Linked DNA regions of Canis lupus familiaris. The protein of the gene in region 2 interacts with the protein of the main gene of each other region in a biochemical or structural test. Links are inferred from orthologs where the notes say so. Each region holds a gene or a part of one and is shown on either strand. Other genes may lie near its edges.

Region 1 (3,652 bases), on a different chromosome or scaffold from region 2:
CTGTCTTTAGTGCTGGCATTCTAAAGAGGTAATTTTCAGGCTTTGCCCACTACTTCCTAGATATACCTCTGACTCTAGGCTCTACAGAAAAGGAGATGGAGGAAAAAGACCCAACTTCTGAATGTAAAAGTACTTGTGAATAGCTTTATTCTGTGTGTGTTTTCTTGCAAAGTAAAGTTAGAAGGGGCATTTACTCACCTTGTTTTCTTTATGAAGTATTTCAAGAGCTAATTTGGCTGCAGTATTTCTGGCCTCCTTCTTTGATTTACCTTCAGCTTCTGGATATTCTCTCTCATCTATGATAGCTTGGAATGTAAATCTGATTACAAAGGCAATATTCATAAAATGTTATAAAATTCCTGCATTATCTACAGACAAGTATTCCAATCACACTGTCTCCCATAACTACCTTGAAGGTTTTAACCTGTTCAATATAGAATTTAAGCAGTCACCCTCACTCAGCCAAATAGCACATCATCTTTGCTCTAGAGCTAATTATGTACTTCAAAATCATGCCAGAGTTGCCATTCTTCCAGTTCATATTTTATACAGCTATACCTTTAAAAAAAAAAACAGCAATTTGGGGTGCCTGGCTAGCTCAGTCAGTAGAGCATGCAATTCTCGATTTCAGGGTTGTCAGGTTGAGACCCACAATGGGTATTGAGAATGCTTTAAAAAAGTCTTTAGAAAGTAGAAATTTACCTTAAGTTATGTGCAGGTCCTTCCTTAGACAGTTCATTATACTTAAGTACCTTTCTGTGCTTCTGACAGAATATATTAAGTTCTTCAATAAAAAAACTTGGTGGACGCTGATTGGCCATTTCCTCTAGTAACCTAGAACAGAAGAGATGTTTGAAAAAAGTGACACAGAATATATTTAATCTCATTTTCCCAATTCAGTGCAGGAGACAAAAAAGGATCAGAAGAATTTTCTTTTTTTAAAAAAATTACTTATTTATTCATGAGAGACACAGAGAAGAGAGAGAGAGAGAGGCAGAGACACAGGCAGAGAGAGAAGCAGGCTCCATGCAGGGAGCCCGATGCGGGACTCGATCCCCGACTCCAGGATCACACCCTGGGCCGAGGGCAGGCGCTCAACTGCTGAGCCACCCAAGCGTCTCAAGAATTTTCTTATAGACTCATTTCAGCCCCACATAAATCCAGAGAAAACGTCTTACAAAATCTTTTTCTCTCATGAACTGCACACCAAGCTAATTTCTCCAAAACTTTCTACTTCCAAAACTCAACTGGTCAAAAAAAGGAAAGGGGTCTTTTTCTTCCACTTTTCTCTCTGCTGCCAGTGAGTGTCAGGTACAGGTATCTCCACCTGCGTGAGAAGGTAAAAAGGCTACACGAGTAGAATCAGAATTCTTCATGATGAGAAAAAAAAGGTTGAGAGTATACATATAAAGTGAAGTCTATAAATGATCGAAGATTTCACTATATAGAAATAGATGCCCCAATGAAATCTCAAAAATCTTCCCTTTAAAATATGCATTAGTCACTTTTACCTGGATAAATAATGACCCCAATTTATGGGTCTATTAGACCAAGAGAGTAGCAGTGATTTAAGTCATAATGAAAATCTAAAAAAATATAGAATCTAAATATAGAAGCCAAAACTATAAAACTCTTAGAAGAAAAAATAAGGGTAATCTTCATAATCTTGGATTTGGCAATGGAATCTTTGCGATGACAGCAAAAGCACAAGCAGCAAAAGAAAACAGATAGATTGGGCTTTAACAAAAGTAAAAACACATCTGTGTTACATAGGACACTATGGAGAAAATGAAAAGACAATTTACAGAATAGGATATCTATAGATCTCCTCTCTGCTCTACTAACACTCACTCCCCTGGTGATCACCTCTAGACTTATGGGTTTAAATTTCACCTACACAATGATGGTTATCACCATCATTAACACCTCTACCCCTGACTATTTCATGACTCTGTTTCTGTTCAATAGGCTGCCTCCTTGACTTCACTCCTTCCACTGCCTCCACCTGGTCAACTCCCATTTCCTAGAGATCACAGCTCAGAGGTCCCTTCCCAGAGACCCTAGAAGTCCTTGTTTGGCACTCCATCACAGCTCTTATTCACTTTACTGCAATTGCTTATATAAATGACTATCTTCCAAAAGAGACCATGAGCCACAAGAGGGAGGGGGCCAGGCTGTTATTATAGGGGGTCAATAATCAATGAATGAATACCAAAATATCAGCAGACCTTCCTCCATCTGCATTACTTGTCACATGCTTTTCGCTTTGCTCTGAATGCAGTATCTACACCTTCTGTCTACCAGGCAACTCCTACTCATCTGTGAGGCTGACAAGTTTTCTTTGATGTTGGAGGGGCAGCCAGTACTCCTCCAAGGGCCTGCCACTCCACCTGGCTCAGCCCTCATAACAGCCCAGTCAGTGAGCTTTTTGGGAAGCAGGTTCCACGTCCTATTCATCTTTGTATCACCAATACCCAGTGACAAGTAGTAAATGTCCAACACTTGGATAGTGTATAGGAAAATGAAAGGATGACCTGTTAAAACTAAATACTCTACTTGAAACCCCCTCATCTGCTCCCTTTTCTTCATCTGCTATTTTCTGGGGATCCTTTCTTCATTTATTCAATAAACACTCATCGAGTGCCAGGCACCATTCTGACAATGAGTATACAGATGTGGACAAGACAAATGAACACCTGACCTGAGGGAAGACAGGAAATGGCCATGCACAGAAACAGATAACGGGAGTGGATAATATGATAAGATGGCCAGAAGTGCTATTGTGAAATTAGATAGGGGTGTGGCATAGAAGGTGAGTTGGTAGGTAGAGGCAGAGATATGAGGGAGGTGGTTTTTAGATACAGTGGTCAGGAAAGACCTTTCATAGGAGGCAATTTTAAATGAAGACTGAATGATGAGTCCATTATATCAAGATATGGGGGAAAAGTAACTCAGTAACCACCATGGCCTTTGAAGGGAGAATAAAAACATCAAGGGATCAAGGGGATGGCTGCATAGTGAGTGAGGGGGAAAAAAGCAGGAAGTGAGTCAGAGAGGTCAGCGCGTATAGATCTTATAGGTCATGGTCGCAACTGATGGATGGTATTCCAATTGCAATAGGAAGTTACTGGACATTCTCTAAGTAGAGAGGGGATGTGATTGGATTAATGGTTTTTTTATTTTTATTTTATTTTTTATTTATTTATTTATTTATTTATTTATTTATTTATTTATTTATTTTTTATTCATAGACACAGAGAGAGAGAGGCAGAGACACAGGCAGAGGGAGAAGCAGGCTCTACACAGGGAGCCCGATGCGGGACTCGATCCCGGGTCTCCATGATCATACCCCAGGCTGCAGGCGGCGCCAAACCGCTGCGCCACCAGGGCTGCCCTAATGGGGGGTTTTTTGTTGTTTTTTTGTTGTTGTTGTTGTTTTAAGATTTTTATTTATTTGAGAGAGCAAGTGCTCGAGAGAACACAAGTGAGGGTGCAGAGTGGAGGGAGAAGCAGGCTCCCCACTGAGCAGGGAAACCGATGTGGGGCTCGATCCCAGGACGCTGGGATCATGACCTGAGATGAAGGCAGACGCTTAACCGACTGAGCCACCGAGGCACCCCTGGATTTCTGTTCTAAATTATTATTCTGATAC
Region 2 (3,652 bases):
CATTTCTTTTATTCATAAATAATTTGATGGGATTTTTCCTAAGGTGAGTATAGAGCCAAGTGCATTAAGAGTTAAAATATAGGGGCAGCCCAGGTGGCTCAGCGGTTTAGTGCTGCCTTCAGCCCAGGACATGATCCCGGTTGGGCTCCCTGCATGGAGCCTGCTTCTCCCTCTGCCTACGTCTCTGCCTCTCTCTTCTCCGTGTCTCTCATGAATAAATAAATGGAATATTAAAAAAAAAAGTTAAAATATGTATATCATCTGACCCAAAAATTCCATGTTTGTGAATTTATTTCAATGGAATAATCAAAGGAATACATAAAGATTTAGGTGCAAGTATGTTCATCTCAGTATATATAATACCAAAATGTTAGAAACAGTCTTTAAAAATCTCCATCCTTTAAGAATAACAGCATGTGCATAAGACGGAAAATTATTTTTAAAGATTTTACTTGTCAGACAAAGAAAGAGAGAGCACACAGAAGTGGGGGTAGGAGGGAGTGAAGGGAGGGCAAGCAGAGGCAGAACCAGACTACCCAGTAAACAAGGAGCCTGATGCAGGACTCAATCCTGGACCCTGGGATCACCCTTGAGCCAAAGGCAGACATTCAACCACTAAGTCACCCAGGCATCCCACAAATGGAAATTTTCAAGCATAAGTTAAGTGACCATCTATAATAAACATTCCACCCAGAGAAAAAGATGGAATAATTCTCCAAAGCATCTTTCAACTTTATGATTCTATCACTTTATGAAAGAATATAAATAAAAGAGGACTAATAGAAGTGAAAGCTGTGTTCTTATGCAAAGAAGCAGAATACCATTCTGTAACTCATTAACATTTGTTATAGCCTATATATTAAAACCTGTGCATTTCACAGATAAAACCAGTGGAAATGACCAAATTATTTGGAAAAGGACACAACCTAGTGAAAGTTAAAAAGTGTTTATACAAAAGCCATTTTTGGCTAGATCAACTAACTTGGCTTTGATATCTATTAGATGGCTAGTGAAAAAAACAGCTTCTCACTTCAACAGGAAATGACTTTTATTCTACTCATGACATGTGATCAACTTCTGAGTGAGAAGACAAGTTTTCAGCTCATCTGCTGAATTCTGCATCTCTTCCTATATGACTGAACTGTTTTTTGAGATGAAAAGGGTGAGTGGCAGTAAGGAAGGAGGGCAGAGCAGAGTTCAAGATTCCTCTTCTAAACAATACACCTTCCTGAAAAATATACCTCCTATAAGACAGGTAAACATTAAGAGCAAAGATATTAACAAAACAAACAAAAAACAACAAAACAAAGACCAAGGACATTTTATTGGTCACAGTACTGGGTGCTGGAAATTTCACTATCAGGCAAAGGATTCATAGCCAGTTTTGGGAATGGGAAGGGCAAACATTTTTTTAAAGATTTTTAATTTTTTTATTCATGAGAGATACAGAGAGAGAGAGAGAGAGAGAGAGGCAGAGACACAGGCAGAGGGAGAAGCAGGCTCCATGCAGGGAGCCTGATATGAGACTCGATCCCGGGACTCCAGGATCACGCCCTAGGCCGAATGCAGGCACTAACCCGCTGAGCTACCCAGGGATCCCCTGCAATCAAACATTTTAAGAAGAAAGTTAAGAGTCCTTTCCCAGGGGATCCCTGGGTGGCTCAGCGGTTTAGCGCCTGCCTTCGGCCTAGGGCGTGATCCTGGAGTCCCGGGATCAAGTCCCATGTCGGGGTTCCTGCACGGAGCCTGCTTCTTCTTCTGCCTGTGTCTCTGCCTCTCTCTCTGTGTGTGTGTGTGTATCTCATGAATAAATAAATAAAATATTTAAAAAAAAAAGAGTCCTTTCCCAGAACAACGTAGACCTATGATATTTTTTAAGCCTAAAATGCCATTGATTTAAATGCAACATCCATTCTTTCAATAATCCGTAATTTTTTAAGTCAAAAAGCTCAATTCTTTTTTTTTTTTTAAAGGTTTTTAATTTATTTATTCATGAGAGACAAAGAGAGAGACAGGCAGAGACATAGGCAGAGGGAGAAGCAGGCTCCATGCAGGGAGACTGATGTGGGGACCTGATCCCAGGACTCTGGGATCACACCCTGAGCCAAAGGCAGATGCTTAACCACCGAGTCACCCAAGTGTCCCAAAAAACCCAACTCTTATATCAAACATAAGACAACAATCAAGATCTACATCAATTTCAAAAATTTTTAAATTTAAAATTTTGCTATTTTGAGGTTCACAACTCCTCCCCAAGTATCAGCTATGTGTCCCAGGTTAAGAGTCCCTAAGTCAAGGTCTGAGGCTGCCTAAGAGGTGGTATCTGGCTTCTTTCTATATAGTGTTCTCCTTCTAAGTGCCAGAAGTACAGGGTTAGAATGGACGGGAACTGCTTCAACCCAAGGCTTGAAAGGGCTAATTAGTTCTTCCCTAAGCTCTGGGACAAACTCACATGCATCACTTATTGCTGGTAAGGTAATACAATGTAGTAGTTAAATGAAGCAAATCGTTTGGTTTTGAATCCTAGTTCCACTACTTCCTGTGTTAATAACTTGGGCAATTTATTTAGTTCTTTGTGCCTTAGTTTAATGAAGGAGAAATACTAAATAAGAAAATATGTACATCTTAGAGTCATAATAAACTTCAAATGAGTTTAGAAAATACCAACTGTTTCAAATAGAACCTGGCATACATAAAGCATTCAGTTAGAGTCAACCATTACCTGTTTTGTTGGCTTGCCTACTCTTGCTCTGAGTAGTAAGGTGGATCTTAAGATGGAGAGGACCAACATTTACATATTAACTTAAGGAAAAAATATTCTCAGTCTTGTCTGATTCTAGGACCAAAGATTACCTCTAGCCCAGACAAGAAGAATCATTTACATGGTTCAGTTCAGCTTATCAGTGAAGGAGATTAGAACCAGACTTAACTTCTTTTAAAAAAAAAAAAAAAATTTAAAGGGCCTAATGTGGCTACAAAGGGGAGTTACAAAGAACTAGAAATAGCCTGGCCTCTAGGTGTTTCCACCTCTCAAACTCTATCAACACCAGACACCCCCCTTGTAAGCTGGCTCACTACTTACCTGAGTTACTACAATGTTACACTCTGCTGCTCGGTCATTCTGGATGAAGTCATCTAGAATAAACTGTGGAACTTGTGTGGTTTTACCACATCCAGTAGCACCTCGGATAATGACAACCGAATTTTGACTAATTGCTTCCAGGATTTCACTTTCAAATTTCTTCACAGGCAGCAACTCTCTCTCCTGTAAGATCTTTTTTTTGGGGGGGTGAGAGAAAGAGGAGAGAGAAGAGAGTAAGAGAGTGTGTGTGTGGAGGTGTGGGGCTGGGGAGAGGGCAGGGCAAGGGGAGAGAATCTTAAGTAGACTCCGCGCTGAGCACATAGCCCAACATGGGGCTCAGTCTCATGGCCCTGAGATTGTAACTTGGGCTAAAACCAAGAGTCAGGACACCCAACCAGGTAAGCCACCCAGGCGCTCCCCTAAGATCTGTTTCAGAAAAGCTCCACAGCAGTCGAAGTTTTACCAACATATACATTAGAAGCGACTGTCTTAATCCTAAAAAAAAATTTCCCATCTCTATGAAAACATTCCTTCCCACTGGCTTCATACTCAAAAATATATATTTTCATA
Region 3 (3,627 bases), on a different chromosome or scaffold from region 2:
CCGCCAAACCCCGCCCGCCTCCCCAAGCCTCGCCGGCCAATCCGCACGCAGCGCCCCGGGAGCGACGGCGCCGAGGTCCAATGAGCAGCGCGCGCGCGCCCCGGCCTCCTCTCCGCTCGGCCGGGTTGGAGTAACCGCGCTCCGCTGTAGGCCTCGGCCTGCAGCCTTGTACGCACCAGCGGCTGCGTCGCCTGAGCAGCGCCTGTCCGCCCCACCCCGCACCGAGGCACCCACACGAACCTCCGTAGCCCTGCTCCATGTCTTCAGCTCGGCCCGCCAGCAGCCCCTTTTTCTAGGCTGCCACAGGACGCATGCGCTCAACACACCTTCCGCCGTCCGCTACTGGAAGACCAGGAGCATACGTCACTCCCCCCGCGCCCCACCATTGGCTGGCTTTCACTGCGCACCCGCCCCTGTCGCCCCAGCGGGCCTTCCGGTTGCTTGGGCTCAGCTTTTACAGCATCTTGGGAGTTTTGGTCCGATCACGCAGTCTTACTGCGCGCAGGCGCTTCCCTCTTCCTTCCCGCCGCCAGTGCGCAGGCGCACCCCCACCCTCCCCCGGGCCCCGCGCGCAGGCGCACGCCATTCCTTCCTATGCCGATGGTGCCGCATACCAACAAACGAAGGAGAAAGAGATGGGACGGGAAGAGCTTTATTAGGCTCAGCTTCCAGCCTTGGGCACGCGGGTCCTGCCCGCCCGGGGCCCGGGTTACGGTGCGCCCCCGCCACCCTCCTCCTCGTCGTCGTCGGCCTCCACGTCGAGGCCCGGGATACCGCGGATCTGGCGCTGAAGCGCCCCGCCCAGCAGGGGCACGGCCTCCTCCTCCTCCTCCTCGGGGGGCGGTGGCGGTGGCGGAGACGCGGCCCCGGGGGCCGGCTCCGGGGGCACGGGGGGCTGCGCCGGCGCGCCCTCTACACCCTCCGCGCCCCCTGCCGCTTCGACCAGCGCGCCCTCGTCCAGGGGGCCGCCCTCGGCCTCCTCCTGTTCCTTCTCTTCCTCGGGGCTATCGGTGAACGGGTTCTCACCCTGTGGGGAGGGAAGCGGACACTGAAGGGAGCGAGGGCCCGCGGGAGCCGGAGGCCGGGGGCCGGGGGCCGGGGCACCTCACCTTCAGATAGCGCTCCAGCTTCTTGCTGATGATTTTGTTGTTGAGGATGCTGCGGGCCACCATGAGCGAGGACTTCTTGGACTGCTCCATCATGAGCTGCAGGCAAGGCAGGCAGGGCTGGAGAGGCTGCTCTGGGCGCCAGAAAGCCCCCCTCCCACACGCCACTAGATCTGCGGAGCCCTCCCAAACCCCTGGGCTCAGCACAGCCAAGCACTCTAACCACGTGATGTAGGTGTACAAGTGTACCTTGGGTACAAGCGTAGGGCCACTCTACAAGCACGGAGCTAAGACCTGATCTGATCTTTGCTCGAATGCTCCATTCTTCCACATCATACGTACTGTATGCAATTGATTAAAGACATATGTCTTTACAGCTGTACAGCAGAAATCTGATGTGCTTACATAAAAACTACAAACAGTGAACAAATTAGGAAACCTACTAAAAGCCAAAGTTGCAACCTATTATCAAGAAGCCAACTGCCCATACGCAAGGAACTCTTTAGAATCAACAGGGAGGATATGATCTGGAATACAAATGTCAAAGAGTACATTTAAGTGAAATACCTCCTTTTAACTCATAGAATTCCGAGGATGAAGAATTATACCCTAAATGGCAAGGGTGAAAAGAGGGTTCCTACCCTGACGGTGACAAGGTCAACTGTTTACTTTTTGGAAAGCAGTTTGATAAAATGTATCAAAATTAAGTTTGTCTCAAAAATTTGTCTCAGTAATTCTTTACAGGAATAAGAATCTATCCTAAGACTTGGAAACATTCATGCACATAGTTGCAGAAAAACTGGAAAACACCTAAAAGTTCTGTGTAGTTAAATAAATCATACATTCAAAAGAACAACATGCAGTCCTTAAAACAGGGCTCATTTCTGGGACCCCTGGGTGACTCAGTTGGTTAAACATCTGACTTCAGCTCAGGTCATGATCCTGGGATCTTGACCCATGTGGGACTTTGTGCTCGGCAGGGAGTCTCCCTCTATTTCTGCTCCTCCCCACCAATGGTGCATGCACTCTCAAATAAGATTTTATTTTAAAAATAGGGCTTATCTCCCTCTGTGTGCTGAGAAAGGCAGTATGCATAGCATGCCAGAGCCTTTTGTCTGGAAGGATTTACACTGAAATGCTAAGTGGTTTTCCTCAATGGTGGAAGTACAGACAAATCTCACTTTTGTCAGTATGAAGATAATGCATATATAAAGCCACAAGCTGGAAGATGAAGGCTATTTCTGTTGGCATGGGGGAGCCCCACCCCCAGGAACCCTGCTGCCGCATCCCAGCCAACTCTTTATTATCATCCTGTCACTTGCTGTTTCTATTCTGTTTCCCCACCTTCACTTTTTCTTTACTCATTTTCTTTACTATTTGGGGAAAATAGGGATAGTCCTCATACATGCTTAAAATGAAACAAGTTAAAGATGCACAATTAGGATGCTAGGTCAGATCATTTCATCTGCAGCTCATCACTTGCCAACACATGATCCTCCTTCCTGTCAGCACAGAGATGTACATGCAACTCCCAAGGGAAGCCCACTTACAGGGTTTCCAGATTTTTGCTACAAGAACCAAACGCCACCAGAATAAACTTAAATACTTCCATGTTGGTGCTACCCAACAGGTTCCCCAAAGTGATGGTGTCTCAGTACTCTGCAAAAAAGTTGTAGTACGTTGTAGTAGTAAGTCGGGCTTCCTCCACCTGTATTAAAACAATGTACTTATCCTTTTGCCTCCTCAGCAGCATCAGATGTTCCCACTGTTGGGTACTTTTGCAGTTGAAGGAAAGAAAATAATGTATGCATCCTCTTGTGGCATTTCCCTGCCCACCAGCGAATCTCAGAGATCTGATACGCACATGGGGCCACCTGCCCAGCATTTCTAGGAGGTCATCTTCTCCACGACCTCTGGGTTTCCTGGCTTGCTCAGGAAGGCTTTCTGCAACCTCAAGGTAAACAATCTAAATTTTGCTCTTTTATTTTTCACATTTATTATTTCTGGAATTTAAATATATTGCAGGAGATTAAAGGTCCAGCTTTCTTGTTCAGAAATTTGTGAGATAAACTGCTTTCTCCATTAAATTGACATACAGGTCTATAATAATCCCTTCTCCACAAATCTGAAATCCAGAAGGAAAAAGTTTTCCCCTAAAACTCCATTGTGTTTTTGAGCCGTCTTTATTTATACCACTTATATAAGTCATTTGAGGCATTACTGATGGTTCGGCTATAAGTCACCTTCCCAGGTCCCACCTAGGGATGTTAGTGATCATCCTAGGGTTTCAGATAAGGAACCTGTGCTGACTTTGATAATTACTAAGTTCCAAAACATACTGGGAACCTTCATTAGACTCTATTCTGGTTCCACCACTGTATTACTATGCCAGTATCGCTCTTCATTTTTAATTGCAGTGGCTTTGAAAAAATATTTTATCTGCTAAACCAATTCCTTAAACTCAACTATCACTCTTTCTATAATTTTCTGGACTGTTGTTAGACTTTTAGTTCTACAACAT

Evidence for each region.
Region 1: the proteins of DHX9 (region 2) and EIF2AK2 form a complex in vitro, tested with the Homo sapiens proteins (2 studies listed by BioGRID, with this or other methods). The link is inferred for Canis lupus familiaris from reciprocal best matches to the Homo sapiens genes DHX9 and EIF2AK2.
Region 3: the proteins of DHX9 (region 2) and AKAP8L form a complex in vitro, tested with the Homo sapiens proteins (2 studies listed by BioGRID). The link is inferred for Canis lupus familiaris from reciprocal best matches to the Homo sapiens genes DHX9 and AKAP8L.

What each region holds. Positions count from the first base shown.
Region 1 is NC_049238.1:29,682,714-29,686,365, forward strand, and holds part of EIF2AK2 (interferon-induced, double-stranded RNA-activated protein kinase), read right to left. Parts: intron 835-3,652; 5' UTR 822-834; coding exon 703-821; intron 320-702; coding exon 199-319; intron 1-198.
Region 2 is NC_049228.1:16,147,207-16,150,858, reverse strand, and holds part of DHX9 (ATP-dependent RNA helicase A), read right to left. Parts: intron 3,275-3,652; coding exon 3,083-3,274; intron 1-3,082. UniProt on the Homo sapiens protein: Multifunctional ATP-dependent nucleic acid helicase that unwinds DNA and RNA in a 3' to 5' direction and that plays important roles in many processes, such as DNA replication, transcriptional activation, post-transcriptional RNA regulation, mRNA translation and RNA-mediated gene silencing.
Region 3 is NC_049241.1:47,209,228-47,212,854, reverse strand, and holds the end of AKAP8L (A-kinase anchor protein 8-like), read right to left. Parts: intron 1,206-3,627; coding exon 1,110-1,205; intron 1,028-1,109; coding exon 710-1,027; 3' UTR 635-709; downstream 1-634. UniProt on the Homo sapiens protein: Could play a role in constitutive transport element (CTE)-mediated gene expression by association with DHX9. Increases CTE-dependent nuclear unspliced mRNA export.